Linked DNA regions of Drosophila melanogaster. The protein of the gene in region 1 interacts with the protein of each later gene in a biochemical or structural test. Each region holds a gene or a part of one and is shown on either strand. Other genes may lie near its edges. The genes, in order: pon and numb.

Region 1 (10,965 bases):
ATTCACACCAGCTGGAGTAACAGGTATCTGATAGTCGGGGAACTCGACTATAGCAGTCTCTCTCTCCTATTAATTTGTTCAAAATGCCATTACATTTTCCTAAAGTACATATTGAGATGATAATCAATAAAATATCAATAAAAATATAATATATAATATATATCGATCGTCAACCCGTGCTCAATTTATTTCTTTTAAAAACATTACAAATTTAGTCAAATGCTAAATCAACATAGTTTTCTATGTTTGGAGTTAACTGGCCGTCTACATTAAATTTAAACATTACGTATGGACTAAACCATACGTGCTTCGGGATTTAAACAATTGTGATCAATTAAAAGCTATAGAAAAATACAAAGCCTAGCACTGGCAATAGCATAATAATGAAAAACTATAACTGGTGGGTGTCATTTCGGTGGCTGTGGAAAAATCCTGATTCGATCTTCTCTACATGATTGCCATGCTGTGATTCAGGGATATCTGTCCGCTGGCCACGCGACTTTTGAGGCGCTGTTTGGATAAATGGGATTTAGGAATTTATGAGATTTTAAATATATGGACAAATCGGGTTGAATGGGTGTTCATTGTCTGACCTTGTTGAAGACATCGCGCATCAAACGATTGGAGCGACGTCTCTGCTCCTCCTCCTGGCGACTTTGGGCGGCCAACACTTCCGGCAAATTTTTGCACCGTTTGGAGGTTATCGCCTTCATTTCCCTGGTGGTAAATAACCTAACTCGAGCTGCAAGTTAAGAAATGTAGTTATTATTCGGACTTCGGATTCCATTTGATATCTTACTATTGGCTGGTGGAGGCAGCTGCTCCAGATGCCTGTTCAGCGCCTCCATGCTGGTACTCTGGCTCAAAACATTGTCCAGCTCCTGGCGCCGAGCATTGCGAATCATCTGCATCTCATTAAGTATGGCCTTGCGCTGCTTGGCATTGGCACAGAATTCGGGACGAGCCAGCTGCAGTTGATCCTGCAGGGAGGGAGGTTTCTCAATCACCTCACTGCTGCCCGTCGGCGTAAACTGGATGACATAGGATATAGCACGTGGACGCACTTGTAGCGTTTGGCGTTGCATACTCTCTGCATTCATCGTGGTCTCCTTGTGCCCTCTTCGCACCCGCTGACATGCCACATCATCGTACTGATGAGTGGTGGTCGTAGTGGTGGTCTCACAGGTGTTCATCATGCCCATGGGTACGGACATGTCCGAGCTGATGCACATCATCGAGGACGATGAATTTGTGGTGGTTGTGGTCGATCTGGTGATTGCCGAGCCTCCTGCTCCACCAGTTGCACTTGCTTCATTTTGTGTCTCTGTGCTCACCATTGTTGCTTGCACATAGCTAGCTACTCCCTGAGAGTTGACCACCTGGTAGTAGATGGCTTCATTCTTATCCGCGCCGGAGCTACCACTCTGGTGTGGAGTGGCATAGGCACTTCCCGCCGCCTGGGCGTACTGCATCTGCATATATTGCTCACGTTCATCGGGCTGCTCCTCTGCTTCCTGTTGACGCCTCTGTGAAAAAGAAAGAGATGGCTTGAGTATGAGGAAGTCGCAGGATTCCTTTTATTGGGCAATAGCCTTACCGGACAATTCTGCTGATGAATGCAAGTCCGCTGGTGACCACATTGAGCACACTGACCGCAATGTTGCTGCCTCTGTATCAATATATCTTTTTGCTGGTTCAGCTGCTTCTGCAGCTGGTAAAGTTTCTGTTGCTGAAGCAATACAAACTGTTGCTGCTGCTGGTTCTGATAATGCTCGCGGAACTGACGCTGCCTTTGCTGGACAAAGGAGCAGACACTTTCGCTGCGACCGCCGCCACTGGTAGAGCTACCTGAGACAAGTAAAGGAGTGGCCATCTTTTTACGGTTCTGCAGATTCCGCTGGTTAAGGTGAGGAGGTGGTGGTGGTGGTTGTGTCGGGGGCGGTGCTGGCAGTGTGGAAGGATCAGAATTGGTCACATTCACTCCAACCGATTCAATTCTCACTGGGGGCGGCGGTGTTGTTGTTGTTTCCGAATTTTCCATCTCTTTGCTCTCTGCTTCAGCTGACATTTCTTGTCGCAGAAGATATTCCTTGTCCGGTCGCTCCTTCTGGTCGCCCATACATCGCATGGAACTTGGAATCTGCGCAGCCGTCGCAGATTCCGTGTTTGCTTTCTTCTGCGACTTGCTGGGCAAACTGATATTTTCCAAAAGATTCTTAAATTCCTGCATGCGATTAATCTCTGTCTTGACCCAGTGGAGCTGCCTCCTTCGCTCCGAATCCGTGCCACCTTTCAAACGCTCTTCGAACTCTATTTCACTCAGGGTCATGGGATTCAGCCAATCCTGCAAATCCAAAGGCTCAATATCTGCATCCGTTGAGGCATTGCGATTCGGTATATTTGTCTTCTGGGTGATCACCTCGCCTGAGCCACTGGTTGAGCCACTGTACGATACGCTTTCAGGCAGTGGCGAAGATGATCCGATAGCTGCTCGCTTTCGTGGAGCGGGAACTGGTGGAGCAATACGTTCAGCTTTGGATGAGCTTCTCGCATTGGATTGGTTCGTATTGGTGGCCGCAACTTGCTGCAGAGAACCTGTAGGCACTGTTTAAAGTATGAATTACTACAAATGCCACCTTGTTGAAGAGTTTACTCACCCTTCAACTGCTCCTTGCTGCTGCTGCTCAGGGAACGCGAACTAGTGCTGGATTCGGTCAGTTCCAGACAGGAGATACGCCTGGCTATATCACGGACGAGTTTTTTCTTCTGTCCCTGGCTGAGGCTGCGAGATTTTACCAAAGAACACAGCAAATCGATTCCTAGATCCAATTCCCCTCCCGGTCTACTACCGGATCCAACGTCTAATGAGGTGGTTGATGTGGAGGCTGTAACGCCGGTGGAGGGATTTACTACAGGGTTCTCGGGCTTCTGGTTCTCCTTGTTCACATGCCGCCTATTGCTCCGAATTTTCTCGAACTGAGCCGCCGTGTACTGTCGCTCTTGCTCGCGCTCCTTTTCGCGCTTTTTAGCTTTTCTTTGGCCCTTCGAGAGTTGCTGGATTCCTTGCTGTTCCCTTTCCAGTTGATGATCCTTTTCATGGCGCTGTTCAGCTTTCCTTTGGTCTCTCATGAGTGGCTGAATTTCTTGCTGCTCCCTTCCCGAATGATGATTCTTGTCCTTTAGTTCTCTTCCCTTTGGTTCCCCTTGTTGCATATCATTTTGGTGCTGCTCTTTTTCCAGTTGCTTCTTTGGCTCAACCTCCATCTCTTGTTGTCTCCTTTGATTGTGTTTGAGCACCTCGACTTCCTGCGCCATATGCATGTGATAATCAAAGCTACTGGCCGACAAACTGCCGTACACCGAGTTGGTTTGTGATTCCCGCCTTGAACTGGAACGCGAGCTCTCCACCCTTGAGCTGACTTCTGATCCCAATCTGGAGCTATTTGGCGAGTTGAGCCTGGAGTCGTCTCTTCTGTAACTGCTCAGCGATTCCCTCCGCGAGCTACTCACCGATGGCCTGCGAGAACTTATCTGTGGATCTTGTACTCGCGAACTAATCCTTAAATCGTCTTTCTTACGCCTGTCAATTGATTCTTCTTCTTCCATTATGGAGTCAATTTCGGTATCATTTCTATTGTAACTGCATTGGGTACCTTCTGTTGTAAAATTTCCACGAATATCTTTTGCTTCAGAACTGCCTTGGGTTGACTCCTTTTGCGAGCTGCTGCGACAGTCCGTCTGACAAGAGCTAACTTCGGAATCCTGTCTCCTGGATTTACGTTGGCACTTCTTTCTAGGATCTCCTTTATTGGAGCTCAATGAACTTTCCATTCCAGAGTTTAGAGACTTCGTGCGTTCGCTGCGATTGACAAACGTGCTGCAAGCCAGTGGCGGCGTTGGCTTATCCAACATTGGTGACGGTTCCTCGGCCAAAAGGGGCTGCACTCCATCCAAATTCGCCTCGGGTCGCTGCTGTGTTGGCTGACGCCAGCTGCAATCCTCCAAAACGGATCGCTCCAGCGTGCTGATGTTACTCATGGACATTGCCCTCTTGCAGTAGCCCACATCGGCAGAAGGATCCCACTCCAGGCGTTTGTGTGACTTAAGGACAGACTCTGGTGTCTGCGTTTTTTTGTTTTGCATCTGGGGCGACTTGGTAGGTGTGCGTATGTCCTCCGCGGATTGGGACATGGTTTGGGTGACTGCTACGGAACGAAAACTGGGGCTACTGGCCAATACAATAGGAATTATAGTGTATTCATTCGGTTTCGTCTTAGTTACTTCCGATTTCGGTGATGTGAACTGACTGATTTTGTGCTTACTGGGTGGTGGTGAAACTGACAGTTCCCGGAGCTGTTCCTTTGCTTCCCCCCGTTCGTCAGGTGAACGATGATCGCTGCTCTTCGTGCGACGCCTGTGGCCTGATTCTGGTCGCGATTCATGTTCCATGGAGGCACATCCTGGCGGCGGGACTGATCCCAGGGCACAACTGTGGGTGCTGCCACTGGCTCCACTGCTTGCCGTCGACGAAAGGGCCATGAATCGATCTAATTCCCGGTCCGTGGCCATTGCGCTGATATATTCCCTAGCTAGTGGAGGAACGCGGGATGATTCCGCCAATTTGTTATGGCGAGAACCGGACATCATCACCTTTCCGACTGCTCCTCTCTTCGCTCTCATGGTCGAAAAAGTTTATTCCCCTTCAATATGTCAGTTCGCCACATGGAAGCAGCGTTAGAAACTAGTTTGATGTGACGCTAAAATCATTCGAAAACAAATTGAGCCACCTGATATCGAAAGTTATCGCCTATCGGTGGCGATAGTTGGTTAGATGCCTTTGTTATCGATATCGATTATTTTGGTTAAAATTACATTACATTACATTTTCCTAAAGTACATACTGAAATGTTAAAATCAATGAAAAAAGCATATATAATATATATACTATTATGTACATAATTCAAATAAAGCATTTGGTTAGTTGATACAAGTGAATAAGTAAAAAATTTTATTAACAGCAATGTAATATGGGATTAACAGGGCCTATTGAGAACCGGTTCGGACGCAGTGTTGGCTAACGATGCAACCGGTTCCGGTTGTCTGTGGATTTTCAAAATGGCATTTGGTGTCGTACTGCGTTGTTTATAATTGCTCCTCGCTGCTCTAGAAAAACAATTTGAATCTGATTAAAGAAACTTAAGATATACACATCGACTTGTGATCGACTGAATAATGCTGGAGACGAAGAGCATAGCTGCATTGGCTTTCACGGAGACGCCGCGCAAACGCAAAAGGGAGACGCTCTATAAAAATGCTGCCCCGCCCCCGAATCCGCAGCAACAACCCCCAGAAAAGGACGCACAGGATGCAGCTGTCGCGTCGACAGAATCCTGCTTCACCAACGCCGCCTTCAGTTCCACGCCCAAGAAGCTAATGGTGGCTCGTCGTCGTTTGGCCAAGGAGAATAGCCAACCCAATCCGTTTCCCGGCTTGGAGGTCAAGTCCATAGCTGATCTGGCCCAGAAGCAGCAGCACCAGCAGCATCATCAGCAGCAGCAACAACAACAACAAAAGCTACCCACGAATCCTTTTGAGGTCCTGCGCCAGCCGCCCAAGAAGAAGAAGCGCGAGCATGCCTGCTTCGAGAATCCTGGCCTGAATTTGGAGCTGCCCGAGAAGCAGTTCAATCCATATGAGGTGAGTTCACTAGTCTAATCGTACATGGATGTACTTTTTGTCGCAGTTAAGTTACAGTAGAAATCATTCATATGTGTTTGTTTTCTAAATAAAACAATATCTTTATAATCTATATATTAAAAACTACATAAAAATCATACATTTATTATATATAGCTATAGAATATTATTATAACTCAGCCATAATATTTTTAGGTCGTCCGCTCGGCAACCACGCCCGCCAAGGGCTTCGTGAATCCTGCCCTGAATTTGCGCGGCAGTGATGCGCCGGCCTCGCTCAATCCCTTCGAGATCCATCGGCCCAGCGAGGCGTCCGAGGCAGCCTGCAATCCCTCGGGTGTGGCCAATCCGGCACTGGCCGATAGGGATTCGGAGGAGCAGCTGCCCACCAGCCTGAAGATCGGCTTGCCATTCACGCCAACGCTGGGCTGTCGCATCGATTTTCACGGCATGTCCCTTACGCAGCTAACGCCTAGCAAGCTGCTGGCCGAGAAGCTGGTCTTTTCGCCCGTTCCGGCGCCCAAACGATCGCTGGGCGCCATCAGCGAGGAGTCGTCTATGGACATTGGCAAGGAGCTGGATCGCTATCAACTGGAATTGGAGAACAGCATCAACGAGGCGAAGCTACGGAAGAATGGCGTGCTGGTGGATAGAGAGTTGCCCAGGAATAGCTTGGAGGTGGAACTGCCCAAGAACACCAAGGTCTCCTTGGTCATGGAGACCAATACGCAGGAGCTGATGATGCAGGAAGTGGTGACGGTGGACACTCAAGTGGAGAGGCGTCTGGTTTGCACCAGACGACGCACACTAACCGAGATTAGCGAGGCTTCCGAGGTGGAAGAGGACACGGAGAAGCTGCTCGAGCAGGACCGCGAAGCAGAGGTGATTCTCGAGCAGGAGAAGATTCTAGAGCAGGAGATGGTCTCAGAGCGGGAACGACATTTAACGAGGGAGAAGCAATTGAAGCAGGAGAAACTCCTAGAGAGGGAAAAACATTTGGAGCGAGAGAAGCTGCAGGAGAAGCTGCACGAGCAGCTCAGGGAAAAGCTCCAGGAGAGGGCCAAGCATCTGGAGAAGGAGAAGCTGGAGGAGGAGGAGCTCCTGGAAAGGCAGCTAGAAGAGGAACGGGAAAAGGAGCCAACCGACGGCGATGTGGCCTATGCCTCCGAATCCGAATCCGACGACGAGCCCGATGATCTAGACTTCAAGGCACCCGCGCGCTTCGTTCGCGCCTACAGACCCGCCGCTCTGCCCTCCAAGGCGGCCAGCAAGGAGTCGCTGCAGTCCATCGGATCAAGCAAGTCCGCCAAATCGGCAGAAGTTAAGCCCAGTATCGGAATGAAAGGCATGATAAGAAAGTCCATTCGAAGACTGATGCATCCCACGTCGCACACCACGCCATCCGAGGTAAAGTCCGAGGACAAGGATGAACATGGACATGGACAGGGCCATGGACAGCACAACATACTCAATAGCATTCGGCACAGCCTGCGCAGGAGGCCACAAAAGGCGGCCGAGTTGGAGGAGCAAATGGAGCCCGTTCTCGCCGACGTCTCCATTATCGACACCAGCGAACGGACCATGAAGCTCCGCTCGAGCGTTGCCCAAACCGAGTACATGACCATCGAGCAGCTGACCAACGAGAAGAAGCACTCACTGCGGAACAGCATTAGGCGGTCCACGCGGGACGTGCTGCGCCATGTGTTCCACAAGAGTCACGATGCCTATGCAACCGCCAAGTGAGCAGGTTGGCTCCACAGATTCAATTGGTGCGTCGATTTTTAGGGGATTTCAAATGGCATTTCTGTAACCGAAAGCATTTAAATTTATTTGTTATTATTTTTGAAATGCGCCTTCCCCTTGTTGAATTGACCCAATTGACTTCTTTTCAATTCGATTTTTCAGCACCTAGTTAAGTTTTTAATTGCACCCAAAGATTGTCACACAAGACCAGCGAAAAAAGGAAAGGAAACCTTATTTCATCTGAAAACCACATCATCACCTAGTTTTTAATCAAGTTTTTTTTCTTAATTTTTCAAGCGAACTCTGCAAATTAATTTGCACACTGTTTATAGTTTTAAGTTACTTGATGTTTGCACGTTTATTCATATATGTATGTATGTATGTTTGCCCATATATCTTTATATATATATATATATATGCTTTCTAATATATATAACATTTGTTTTTTTATACATAAACGTGTGATTTCCTATTCTTGGACCGATTTTTCCGACTAATTTGTGTGTACAGATGCATCAATTTAATGCTAATGACTAGCAAACATTTAAGTTGATAAGTTAATATACTTGCTTAGCTTATGGACATTTTTGTATAGCTTTCAATTATTCATTATCCCGTTTGTCCGGACATTTCTCTCTTGAGCGGACTGCCATCCTGGAGCACACCTACTTGTAGACAGTTTGGAGAAGGGGTCGCCGCCGCTGGTCGATGGGCTTGTAGGCGTGCTGATAGACACTGGCCAATCGCCAGTGCTCTGGATAGCCGCCCTGACCCGCTCCGCCCGCTTGGCTTTGGAAGGGCGGCACCAGGGTTTCGATGTCGTAATTCTTTTTGGCATACGGCTGCCGGGGGCGTGGCACCACCAGAACCCTACCACCGCCACCGCCACCTCCTCCGCAGCCCGGTTCTATTCCCACGAAATCACCGGAGGCATTATGCTTGGGCACTCCGGCGCGAAATGCCGCCTTACTGGTCAAGCAATGTCCGTGTCCGTGTCCATGTCCATGGTGATGACCATGTCCGCCGAACGATGGGGGACAGCATCTGGGAGCTGGAGCCACCTTGTGGCAGAGACGTCGAGCTGGACGCCGGAGGAGAACGTCTCGCTTGCATGGTGGACCACCCGTTGGCCGGCAATCCATGGCCCTGCAATCCTGTCCAGAGTCCGGACCCAAATATTTCTCCCTCAAAGCCTGGTAGGCTTTGTCGCCCAGCAGGGGTGACGATTGATACTGCTTGGCTAGACGATCGGGCATCCCGCGACCGGGTAGCTCCGCCAAATTGCCGAAACTCACACCGCCAGTTGGACCGCCGATGCCCGATCCTCGCCTGCAATGCGATGCACTGGAATCGCGGGAGACACTGCGTGCTCTTTGTCTGGCCGGTGGCGAGTAGTCGCAGGCGCACGGATCCTCGCGATCCACACGGGCACCGCCAAAATCCGTTCGCTTCCTCAGGATGTCCTTGTCGAAGAAATCGGCCTCACCAAGCGTGCTGGTGAAGACGCCAGCCGATCGGCCCAAGTCCGAGGACTGTTCCTCGCGAGGCGTTTTCACGCAGGTGAAGACAGCCGGTCCAGCGGAGTCATTGGAGCCATCTATGTGCCTGGCCAGGCGCGGCTCATCCGATGGATTCGCCGGCTTGAAGTCCCAACAAATGGCCAAATCCATGGGTCCCATCTTTTTGGCCGGAGCGGAGCCAACACCTCGAAAGGCATCGCCATTGCCGAGGGCACGTGGCACGATGCCACCGCCGGTCTTCGGACGAAAGACCTTCATCTTGGTGCAGTGCGTCGGACCAGCATTGTGCGTTTTCACACCCACGCCCGTGGCAATGGGATCGATTTCCAGGGCCAGGCCAGCATGTCCGCCGGATATTTGCGCTCGCCGGAATGCCAAATCGGCGACGCAATCGGGCAGCGGCTGGTGGTCCAAATTGTCCTGGTGCATCCGTTTGGCCAGCTCGAAATTGGCATATGCCGGCACCACTGGCGATGGACACCGCTCGTTGGGCTTCTCCGTGATCGAGTGCAGCGGCATCTTCTTGATCAAATCGGGTTCGGATACGGATACGGGATCGAGATCAAAGCTTCGTATACCCACCGTCGGCAATGAGATTAGATCCTTGCCCGGCTCCAGGCACGCAAAGCTCAACTCGCTGCTGCGCTCCAAGTGATCCGTATAGCGATTTTGGGCCGCTGCCAATGCCGGAAATTGACGACCGGCCGCCGAGCCCAGCTGCTCCCTGTACTTGATGGGCTGCGTGTCGCGCGTGTCCAAGGTGAGACGACCAAGTGGCACGCTGTCCGTGCTGTTGCGTTTCTGGTCGAGGAGCTCCTGGTGCGAGGGCAGCCGGAACTGCGGCTCTGTTAGGTCGCCCGGCGTGTAGCTCAGTTCCGGGAGAGCTGTTTGCGACATGATTGGATGGAGTAATGGAGTAGGTGGCTTTCAGGTTCGTTCACTTGTTGCAATGCGTTGGTGGTGCAGAATGGAATGGGATGAGATAAGATGGAGATGGAGATGGAGATGATAATGATGTATGATTTATGTACATATGTAACAGATGGTTTAACCTGGGTTTAGTTATAAAATATATATGCTATATGATTTGTGTTGAGTGCAATCGTGCTGCCCTTTAAAATGTATTTTAAACCTGCGGTTACAATGAATTTGATTTGAATTTCGGTTGAACAAAATAATGAAGTTTTACTAATGGCCCTTCGCCGCCTTGCGCTCTTTCTCCTTGCCCTTATCCTTCGTCTTATCCTTCTTGCCCGCCTCCTTGTCCTTTGGCTTGTCCTTCGGCTTGTCCTTGGGAGTGGCGACAGTCGCCGCCGGTTTCTCCGACGATGGAATCGGCTTGGTCAGCTCATTGGGATGCAATGCCGTTCGTCCTTTGGAAAAGGCGGTTATGGTGCGCTTTCGACGCCGCTTTTCGGTGGCCACACCCGTCGTCTTGATTGCCTTCGGCGTCATCTTCACGGTTTTCTCGCTCTACGGTTGCAGGTGAATGTGAATGTGAGTGTGCAGGGTGCAGGATGAAAGTGCAAAAAGTGCAACCAGAAATGAAAATATGTATAGCTTGGTTGCAGATAACTCAATAATCTGGGTGCACATAATTGGTAAGAGGTGACACCGATGGTGACCCCGATGGTGACCCCGATTCCCACTCACCACCACGTCGCACTTGGCCCGATTGCAGCGCGCACTCCGCTCGCTCAACGCCCTCAGCTTCTGTAGTCCCTCGCACTTCGTCTGGCACCGTTCGCGCATCCAGTAGGGATCGTCCTTGTGGCCCAAGGTCAACCGCTGATCGCAGGCCAGTGCCCTGCGGTTCTCTCGCTGACAATTGCACAGGTCACGCGGAAAGTCAACAAACTTGTACCGCCCACTCAGACAGGCATCGTAGTGGGCGCAAAAGGCACGGGTTATTCGACGCGGTAGCTCGTAGGTTCCACGATATTGGCCAAATGAGTTGCCCTCCCTGTGGATTAAAATTAAACTGTATAATTGTGGGGCATTGGCAA
Region 2 (10,915 bases), on another chromosome or scaffold:
TCTGAAAATACACACAATTTGACATTCGACTGGCACTTTTCGCCCCTTTTCCCCAAATAAAAACGAATGTCTCGAGGGGGGGGGGGGGGGCTTGAGTGCAAACCAGAAAAAAAGCGAATTGCATTAATGCAATTTTAGCATCTGAAACCGTGCTGAGGAAAACTAAACGGGCACGTTCCAATTGGTGTCCGCGGTCGTCGTCAGCATTCTGTGTCTGCATCTGGATCTCCATATGCATCTGCATCTGCTTCCATCCAGTGAGTTCTGAGCCCCGAATGGAGCAGGGAGGATAATTGGACACCAGACATGGGAGCCCGGAGTCCACTGGAATCGTTCCAAATTGCCGGCGGATGACTCTCTGTCCATTTGCAGAGAAGAAAGAGTAAAAAAAGAAGAAAAAAAAAACGGAGGAGTATCTGATGAAGAAATGCTGTAAAATGGAATTGCATTACACACACTTTAGGTGCCACTTTGTGTGGCAATGCGTGGAGGGGTGGGGGGTAAATCTGAAGGCGAAGCCATGAAGTTGATGATGCGCCAACAAATTGGATGCGTGATGGCTAAGCGAGAGCTGAGCCACAATTGATATATTTATAGTTATGGCCAATAGGGACCCCCCTGTAACTTCATTTTACTTTCGACCAAATGGGCGAAAGTCAGCTTGCTTAATATTTCTCAAAAGCAATTGGATAAATCTTTTGTGCCTTAATGACCTTACATACAAATACCTGAGCTCTTCAACAGAAACGGAAAATTAATTAGCAGCCATGGGAATATCCGAGAAAAGTGCTCGGAATTTATTCGCGGCGAACTTAGTCTGAAATATTTTCACTGGCATTCTCAACTGGCTGTGCCCTAATTAAATTAAATTAAATTCCAATAAAATCATGTTTGGTTCACACGATGCTCAACCCTTCAAGGTTTCGGTGTCCTCTAATGCTGGTATTTATTCTATATTTTTATTGCAATCCTCTATTTATGGCCTCTAATCCGTTAAATGCTTTTTAATTGCATCTGCAACCTTATCCCGGGGACACTTGAAAATTTCAGTTCGCATCGGCAGGGAAAAGTGGGCGGGCTAGGGGCAGAAAATATAGTTTGAAAAGAGGGTGGTTGAGAGGGCGTGAGCAACCCCAGGCTAATTGGTTGGGCGTGAAATTTGTGAGTTTAATTTTTTAGGACTCGGTTAGCTGTCAACCCCTGAAAAATTAAGGACCCCTACAATTTGGCACTGTGGGAGACGAAATTGATAAAGAACCGAGATGCAATCAGCCAAAGTAAACCACTTTTTATCGGCTTAAAATAACATTGGTTAGAAAGTCCGCCAAAGCAAAAAAAAAAAATATCCATAAGATAAATAAGTAGGGTTACAATTAAACGAATTTAATTTTTAATTTTATGATGTCTTTAACCTAAAATAATATACTTGAGTAATGATGAGTGTGACAATAATGGTGTTTTTTGTTTTTTTCCATATATGTATGTATGTAGTATTATTTACTAAATTGTATCTTTAAAAATAAATGTATGGCAATAGGAAGAAGAATTTGATATACAAAATCTTTTTTAAACACAATTAATTCCTATAAGCGTACATACCTTGTGATACTTTATATCCTCAGTGCAATAACTTTAAATCACTTTAAGCTTCAGTTCATTCAACCGCAAGCCGAGCTTAGCATTAACAAAAAGCTCTTTCACCTGCCCGACAAAGCTTTTAAGCCCTCGAGCCACTCAAGTTTTGCGGCTCAGCTCGGCGACGTCTCAAGAACGTACTCAAGAAACGCTCATAAGCAATAGGCTAAAAGAACACATTTACTTGGCCAAACACATACATAGACATACACACATGCAGTTTTAAATTAAAAACAAATTGCGAACACGAGACAAAATATGTTAGAGCTGTCATGACCCTAATGACCGTGGGAACTTTTTTATAAACGTCACTGACATTGTCAGCTGAGTGCCCAAGTGTGAATGTGCATGCATTGGGTGTAAGCAGGCTCTTAAGTTTCTTTTAAGAGAGACTTGAGTTCAAGCATTGCCAGATTAAAAACATTTTTAAAATTTTGTAACGGAAACAGCAGCTTAAATAATAACTTTAATAACTGCTTTAATACTCTATTTATAATAAAGAATATTTTTTTCATTTCAGCTTTTTCAAGGCACCTTAAACTAATACAAGGTAAGCAATTTCAAATATTTTTTTCAACGAGAGAGAGAGAACGAAACAACAAACAAGTTTTTTTCCGTAATATATTTTTAACAATTTTTCCTAAACCCAAAATGGAATTAAATCATCACAGTTAATATACAAACCTTTAAAAAATCACAAAAACTAAATTACCTTGAATCTTGATTATCAAAACATTGGGTTAATCGATTATTCATCACCCCCTTCGAATTGTCGCAAAATTATTTCAATTATTGCCCAACAATTGATTTGTTAATCTTCTTGTCTGCAAATGGAAATCCTTAACAATTGACCCAGCAATTTGTATGAGTAATTGGCTTCTTAATCGCAATTACAGGCCAGATTGGGTTCAATTCGAGTGAATTGATTCGGTTTGGATTACTCATGCCAACGTATTAGACTGTGTTTGAGCGTATTTGTTGCCATTTGTTGTGAGCCTTTCATTGCGGCATTTTGCGCATTTTGATTGAAATTTTGATTAGGTTGCACATGTGGCTTTTGTCTGCCCCGCAGCTCCATTGACTGACATTGATTTCTCAGCTTATGGCCATTTCCCTATTTCTATGCTTCCCTATGCTTCTTCCGTTTTCCCCTTTCCCCCATTGTCTGGCATTATCTTTTGTCGGTTCATACCAGCGGAGCTGGAATTATTTGTCTGCGACGGGAGGTGGGTGGGTTGTCTGGGATCTGGGGTCTCCTCATTCAGTGCTAGCTGTTTTCATTATGGTTTATCTAAAAGTGTCGAGTAATGTCTGTAATGGCTTTAACACATTTAACACACGGAAAAAGGCATAACCGTCTTTAATTTTAACGTAATGGAGTCAAATGATAATGGACATAAGCTTTATATAACTAACATCTTCTCGTGTTTTGAGTAAATCAATTCATAAGTATGCACTTATTATGGTTAATTTTGATTTTATTACTTTTTGAATAACTTATCCCAAGCTCGAAAAAGTTTGAAAATTTTATGTCATCTTTTAATGAAATTTGGAAATATTTGTATTATTAAATGATAGCAATAAGAATTTACATTTTTTCTGAGTGCAAGTCTGCTTTTTTCATCAGTTGCAGCACTTTGTTTTTTCTGCATTTAAATTGCGATAATGTTGGCGCGATTGGGTGCCATGTGTAGGTAGCAATGGTTTGCTCCCAATAGTTTTGATACCATTCTTTTTACTACCTGATTTTATGGGCTACCTGGATTAAAGTCGCTGCTGCATTGCAATTTTTCGCACGTTTCATTGCTGAAAACTCTCTTATTATCTATATGTATGACTGTCTCACGCGCACATTTGGGTATTTATCTTTCGGAGTTATCTATGTTTCTCTTAGGGTACAATTTTCTCTTAAAGAGCGAACGACCTTGCATCGCGCGCTCTTTTGTTCTACGGTTTCGATCGATCATTTTGCCATTGTTGTCACGGAATTTAGGTTGGGCAACTAATTCAAATCGATAAGTTCAATACATTGATTACCGAGCCTTGATTATTGTTCAGTTAATCAGTTTTTATTCTTTTCATTTGTTTTGTATGTCCGTTGGGATTTCATAACCACCTAGCCATCTTTTGCATTTTGTTAATAGCTAAGTCTTTGGTAACTCTCTTTGATGACTCTCTTGAGTGCCATAATCATTTCCATTCAAACCAAACCACTCGCTCTTCATACTCCATGTGGAAAAAACTGGCAGCTGCAGAACCAACGAAACCAACTGGTTTTGAATGCCCTTCTATCACTTCAATGGGGTATCTCAAATCCTGATTTCGAAGACAAAAAAATTTTCGGGATTAGTAATTTTTATTACGCAAGTTTTTAAAGATAACATCCTTAAAACTTGTAATTTTTACACCCGTGCAAAATTCATAATTTATTTTACAAAGTTTCCAAGAATTTGAGCGCTGCTAAAGAAAGACGACTAAAGACAATTCCGAACTTTAAATCCAAGGCGTATGGGTTAGCGATAAATCTGAGAGCCAGAGATATTACAAAACAATAAGAGGACCTTTTTGAACTACCCGGCTTTGTAATTATCTTAGCACTGGCCCATTTGGGAAATTCCCAGAGTTAAATAATAAAATTGAGCTCGTGTTTTCCAAGAATTTTCTCAACTTATCCCAACCGCAAATCTTTTAAGCCACGGTCACCAAATCGCGATCTCTAAATGCAGCGCATCTGAGATTATACCTGGCCGAGATACCTTAAACGCCACTCTCGCTCGCTCAACTTCTGCTATCTCACTCCCACTCTTGAAAACCTACAAGCTGCAGAAACGCGTCGCAGTTTTATCATTATCACAACAAATACAAACGCAGCAGAGCGGAGGTGAGATGGAAGAAGCAAAACGACGTCGTCGTTGGTAGTAAATAAACACAATGGAACTGAGCAAATCCACAAACGTACTGGTGCACTGAAAAAATCACTTTAAAGTTTTAAGAGGACTTAACAACTTGTAATATAATAAATAAAATAAAACACTATGATAATAATGGCTTAATAGGTTGTATTAAAAGCGCGTAATAGAATAAGGCAATACCCTTTGATGACGACCTTTTCCAAATCGATAGAAAAGTAGTAAGATCACTCTTCCCTCAAAGTGATCTTAACACCACATTTAGTTGAAATCAGGGCCAATTTGTTCGATTTTTCTCAGTGCACACACACACAGGCCGAAACACCCTGTAACAGCTGTCGCTCTCTTCCGCTCTTTGCACGCTCGCACTCTTTCCTCTCGACTCAAACAGCGCTGAGCGTGCGGCCAGAGTCAGCCAGTACAGTAGAGCAATTTGAGCCGCCGCATCGAGCTAACCGCTTACCGCTTGCCGGACAAACGCGTTCCGTTTTCCCTCCGCTTCCATTCGCTTTCGGCCCACTGTCGTCGTCGGTTGTCCAAATGTCCGCGTAGGGATAGTGTAACCTTTTTCCAATTTCCGGGGGGGTCATAGTAAAAAAGTTAACACCTAAGTAGTCCAGGCCTTTTGGGCCAAGCCGATCCCAGCCATCCATTTACCGGGCACCGGGCTCTTAACACGGGGATCGTTTTAATCGGTGTCGCGTTGTCGTTATTTCGGTTTTTCGCGATTTTCCCCACATTCCGTGTGCTGTGTGCTGTGCGAGGTGTTCTTGGAATTAATAAATAGTTAAAACCGAAACGTTGGCAAAAATCCACTGAATGAGCAAGAAAGTTATATAAGGCCCGAACCGGATTTATTTATTAATTATACATACGAATGTGATCAAAACAAAAACAGACTGACAACAAAACTCGGCTTTTTGGAATATACCAAAAAAAGCAACTCAAATACAAACCGATCCCGATATATATATGGTAAATGTTTAAAACCAAAAAAAAAAAAAAAACAGTAACAACAGCCAAAGTTGAGCTTAACTTGAGCTTCGGATTTAAAGCCAAGTCAAAACGAGTTTATTGTGGTGCAAAATCAGATTTGCATATACATATGCAATTCTTTTACAGCTTTACGCTAGTTGTTGCTGCTTTGACATTTGTAAAAACATAATATTCATTTTTGTAATAATTCCAGTTTTTGACGTCTTCAATATGCATTGGTATAGAAAACTAAAAACAGCTGTTCAAACTATGTAACACTATACTAGACTTTGCTTCGCAATAAGCTAAAGTATTCAAAATACGTTTTGGGGCATTAATTTTAATAATCAGGGGGAGTATATCCATTAAGGTTATAGCGATACCAGTAATTTAGAATGAATTACCCAGCTAAAAAACTCAATAAATCTTTGCAGTTTGCACTTGAACATAGCAATTGTTGAGAGAGGGTTAACAAATGAAATATATAAACACAATTAGCAATTAGCTGATTTTGGCTGGATCACATGAACGCACATACATACATACGCACATACGTACATATATATCTAAAAAGTTACGATTGACTGGATTCTACTGGTCTCCAGTCTCTCACGTTTCCGAAGATGAATCATTTGGCATGACTACAACTCTTCGAATCGATCGTATATAAAGACTATTTAGACTATTTCAAATATAGTCCCACATTTCAGTTTAAAATCCAATGAATTTCTGCCGAAGCATGCACATATTCTTACCACAAACTCTTCTCCCAGCTCTTTTGTAAAGTTAATTTATTTTAATGTATACTGTGTGCCAAATTATTTGACTGTCAACTGCATAAATTACTGCGATAACAAACAAAACGAAGAAAAAAAAGAAAAGTGGCAAAGGCAAAATGGAAAATGGGGAAAATTTCCCATTGAAATGAGTAATGAATTGGTTTGGGGCGGCTGAGAACGAAACCAACCGAGAGTGGGTGAAAATATATTATAATAACAGTGTAATTAAATGCCAACTTGGCCCCCGCTTTCGCCAGAAGAGAGTTTTTTGCAGCCGCAAACTATGGGATACTTTTGCTTTGCATAATTATGCTGTTCAACTTGATTTACTCGGAATGTTCTTCAAGATCTTGAGTTTCCACCAAAAGGGCTCCCTGATTTATGCTGCACTTTTTTCTTTTTTTTTTGGTAGCAATGCTTTGCAGCCTGGTCAGATTATAAATCTCAGCAGTTCATAAAAACTTCAGGCAAAAAGCTCCAGCAAAAACCATTCAGAAACATTCCAAGAAAAGCCAGAAACACGAACGAAAAAAAAAACTGGTAACAAGCCGAGGAAAAAAGTAAGAACATAATGCTACCTGGGTGCAGTTGGACTTGAGTTAAGCCAACTCTGGGATGGTGGAGCCGCGTCGAATGGAACCGGTTTGGTGGCTGGCTGGCAGCCAGCCGACTCCAACTTTTCTCACATGCCTTTCGATTATGCCAAGTCGACTGCATTCTTCGAGACGCGGCTTTCGCTAAACGTTTGGCTAAGACCGAGCTCTCAGCTCTCAGCTCCAAGCTCCAGCGCCCCATCCTCGAGCTCCATCCCATCGCTCTGCAAGTTCAACACTCAGTCGAGGAGTTAGACCTCAACTTCAACTTCAACTTGATCGCTGCCTCGGCTGTGGCTGCATAAAACTTTAATTTCATGGAATTTCCTTTCTATTTTTATGCTGCAACGCCGATGATTAACAACAGCAGCAGCAGCCAGCCAGCCAACTGCCAACAAAGAGAGACGTTGGACAAGTCAAGAACACGGGAACAAGTCCAAGACCAAGTCTAACTCCAAGTCATGGCTGCCAGCTAGAACTTCAACTTCTGGGCCATTAACTTAGCTCTGGAGACGGGACACAGCGGGCATGTGGCACCTGGCATTCTACATCTAAGGCAGGAAATTAAAAATGCAAAAAATTGGATAATTATGCATGTAAACGTTTTGTCATTAAGTTGATACTTAAATGCTGCGTCGATTAACAGGCAGATTTTAATAGAAAATAACGCTATTAAATCGGCCTAGAAGACACGGGGATTCCTTTAGGTGTCCCCACTTGTATTTCTTTTATAAAAACCACTTGCAATTGCTTTGAAAGTCTGCAAAAAATTACAATTATGAACCTTAAAGGGTATTAGAGAGTTTGTAACTTTTTGTTTATACTTGGCATTTTTCTTGCCTGCCAATAGCTAACTAGCCGTAAAGCTGAACAGCAAACATTTCGCATTAATGCCAAAAACTTTTCTCGCCTCTCGAAGACCCGACTAAGTCGACACGCCAACTTGGTAATAACTTGGCCTTGGCTTGGCTAAGTTGGCCAAAGCCGCAGCGCCTTAAGAATGTCAAAGGGCATGCTTGGATATGATTACGAGAATTTCCGTTCCTAGCTCCTTTTTTATTGCCTTTAATGAGCCAGTTCAATTTCCGGTCTGTCAGCTGGTTGTGCGCTGATAAAGGATTAATCTTATATAGAAACTATAGTTTGTCAAATTGTGTATGTAATTACTTTAGCTCTGATATAAAATTCTATTGAAATAGAACGTTTATTTACCTATGCCAAATTCTTATATGTAACCCAAATACCGTGACACACCTGTTCGCCTGGCTTATTAGGCAAATAGGGGACTATTTGCGCCAGTATTACTGCGCCCCCACAAAAAACACTAGGATGGCTTCTTTTGGCAAGTATATGGGTTGTTTGTTTAGTTTCCTATCGATTATTTTCATTGGGTATTTGCACTGCCTACTTTTGGGCGCCTGGCACCCGGAAATTGCTAAACCAATTGGCCAACAGCTGTTTTGTGTGATGTCTATTTGCCTGGCGTCGACAGAAGACGAGCGTTGACAATTGGAACAGAGAAAACTAACGTGGTTACACTTTTGTGCGCCATAAAATTGATTTGACTCTCCTCCTCCTTCCCCCTTTTGACGACGAAACTATGACAATCAGAGCAGAGAATGCCACTGGAAAATAGCGGGAGACAACCGTTTGGAAAATCGTCAGGCTTGGCTGACTTTCCATCGCCTCGAATTTTGGACCACTTTGCCTCCGCGACGACCTTTGCCGCCATAAATCGGTTGGATAATCGTCTAAACTTAGCAGTTATCTAAACATAGTTGCTGGTGATGTCACGTAACTTTCCACAAAACTTGTAAGCAAACAAATTCTCCTGTTGTTTTGCTTATCGCAAAGTCACATTTTGAAAAATCCCTTTCCCATTTTAAAACTGTCAGATAAAAAAGAGCTCTTTAGCCAGTTTTACGTTTGCTTCTGTCTGGGAAAGAAAAATATTACATCTTGTGTACTTTGATTACACGACGTTTGCTGGAGATCAACATTTGGATAAATACTTAGGAAATTAAACTACTAGTGCCTTTAAAAATCTTGTTTTGTAATCTAATATATTTTTCTGTCACATCGAAGCATTTGTATCAAGTTTCCAGGGTCATTACAAATTCAGTATAAGGATTGAATAAATTCAAATAAGCTTTGGTTTGGCTATTGTCTTAGGAATTTGTTTTCAACGCATTATACATTCTTGTGCATATTAAATTAGTTCTTAGTATTCCCCAGTGATTTTCCTCTACGATTTTCCCTCGCTTTATGAGTTATGAATGCGTAATGGTAAATGTGCCTTGGATGAATGATTGGTTGTTGAAAATTTCTCTGTGTTTCTCACCTTTGGTCTTCATTTCTTCATTGAATTGCATATTTTAATGGCTATAACGTGTCGCACGGCTCGGAAACAGGTTCCCCGAAAAATTCGGTTAACTTTTGTTAAGTTTGCCACAGCGCGTTGAGTCATTGAAATATTTATTTGCATAATGAGTGTAAACAGAAAGCTTGTAAGCGTGGTTCGCAGAAACAAAATCGTACGCTCACAAAAGTGGCTAAAGTCGAATGTAATTACCGTCGCATCTGCCGGCTGGCGAGCAAACAAAGGATAACAAGGATCTTCGATCGTCCTGTTGAGACACGAACCAAACGATTCCGTTTACCTGGAAATTCGGAAATCGTAGCAAATCGAAGTCACTATGCTGAGAACAGACGGCGGCATGTGCGCGAGTCCGAGTACCCACTTAACCAGAGAATCCTTCGAGAATCCTTCGCCACGTGCACCGAGCCATATGGCAGGATCCTGGTAAAAGGTGCGAAAGAGACAGAAAGCCGAACAACAACTGCCGGCAGGGGCTGCATTCGTTTCAAACGACAGATGCAAACTATTTCGAAGTTGTTCGAATTGTGACCCGCTTGCATGTCTCGTGTTCGCCAGGACAGAACACTTCTTATAAGGTATATTATGTATGGATGTATGGATGGTACATATACTACCTACCTCCACTCCACAAACTCACATGTGTATAGCTCGCAGGCGTGCCTATTGTTTTTATTTTTTCTGTGCCTGCATTTCTACTTCCGTTCGTCGGGTTTTTGAGGTTTCTCTCAAGTGTTTTTGTGCTGGAAATGCTCGTATTGGAGTTTGTTTTGTTAAAGGATGTGGTGGAACAGTTAGGATTGTATGTATACATATTCCACATATCGATTTCCCAATTTCATGTACTCTGATAAGGATAAACTTGTACATAAATGCACTTTTAGAGATGCATTTCTGTCTTTCTTTTTTATTAACAATAATAATAGAATTTGTACCAGACAGTCGCATTTATTTTCTAATATTTGCATCCTGCCAGCATCCCTAGTCACCTTTTTTTTTCTCACACTTACCTTTTCCCACACCCCCCGCCAATTTTTCGATAATTCCCATATAGAACCATATATGGCAGACACATAATGGTCAGATCAACGCCCAATTGACAGCTAATAATTATGCGCAGCATACCCTAGTATTTTGCTCAATGGCAGGAACCCCTGCGCCCGACGACGCCGCTGTGCAATTAGAACCCTGCCTGCCTGCATAGGACATGGGTGCATAGGAATTCCCTCCCCCCAATCTTCTAGTGCTTTAACATTTTAGGGGTGCATTTGGGTCAGCGTGTGAAATACCTTTGCATCCGTGCGTAAAGTAACCCAAGCTAGCGATCGAGATCGAAGAATCCTTCATGCGAAATCCCACGGAGTTCAAGAAACTCTTTTATTCTAGCAATTATTTCTTACCCTTTCTTGGCTTCTATACCCATTGTCATTGTTTTTGGATTTATGTACGAGAAGATGTTGCTGAGTTTGAACAGCTAAATTGCGTCACCGGAAAAAAAAAATCGCATGCTTCCCTTAAGAATCCACAAGTATTCGCCAGATGCTGTGCGATCTTTTGTTGCTGTCTCATTATTTCCGTTTAAACCATTTTTCGGCTTTTTGGCTGCGAATTCTTTGCGCACTTCCTTTAAAGTAACCAAACAAACCG

The links.
Region 2: the proteins of pon (region 1) and numb are reported together in a solved structure, tested with the Drosophila melanogaster proteins (one study listed by BioGRID).

Annotation. Positions count from the first base shown.
Region 1 is NC_004354.4:4,631,221-4,642,185, forward strand, and holds pon (partner of numb), read left to right. Parts: upstream 1-5,097; 5' UTR 5,098-5,232; coding exon 5,233-5,697; intron 5,698-5,891; coding exon 5,892-7,439; 3' UTR 7,440-7,892; downstream 7,893-10,965. Other genes in the region: Alms1a (alstrom syndrome 1a), read right to left, coding at 448-510, 594-742, 800-1,526, 1,598-2,604, 2,658-4,680; CG3081 (uncharacterized protein), read right to left, coding at 8,105-9,856; CG3062 (uncharacterized protein), read right to left, coding at 10,148-10,432, 10,613-10,922.
Region 2 is NT_033779.5:9,444,863-9,455,777, forward strand, and holds the start of numb (numb), read left to right. Parts: upstream 1-4,967; 5' UTR 4,968-5,519; intron 5,520-5,733; 5' UTR 5,734-5,758; intron 5,759-10,915.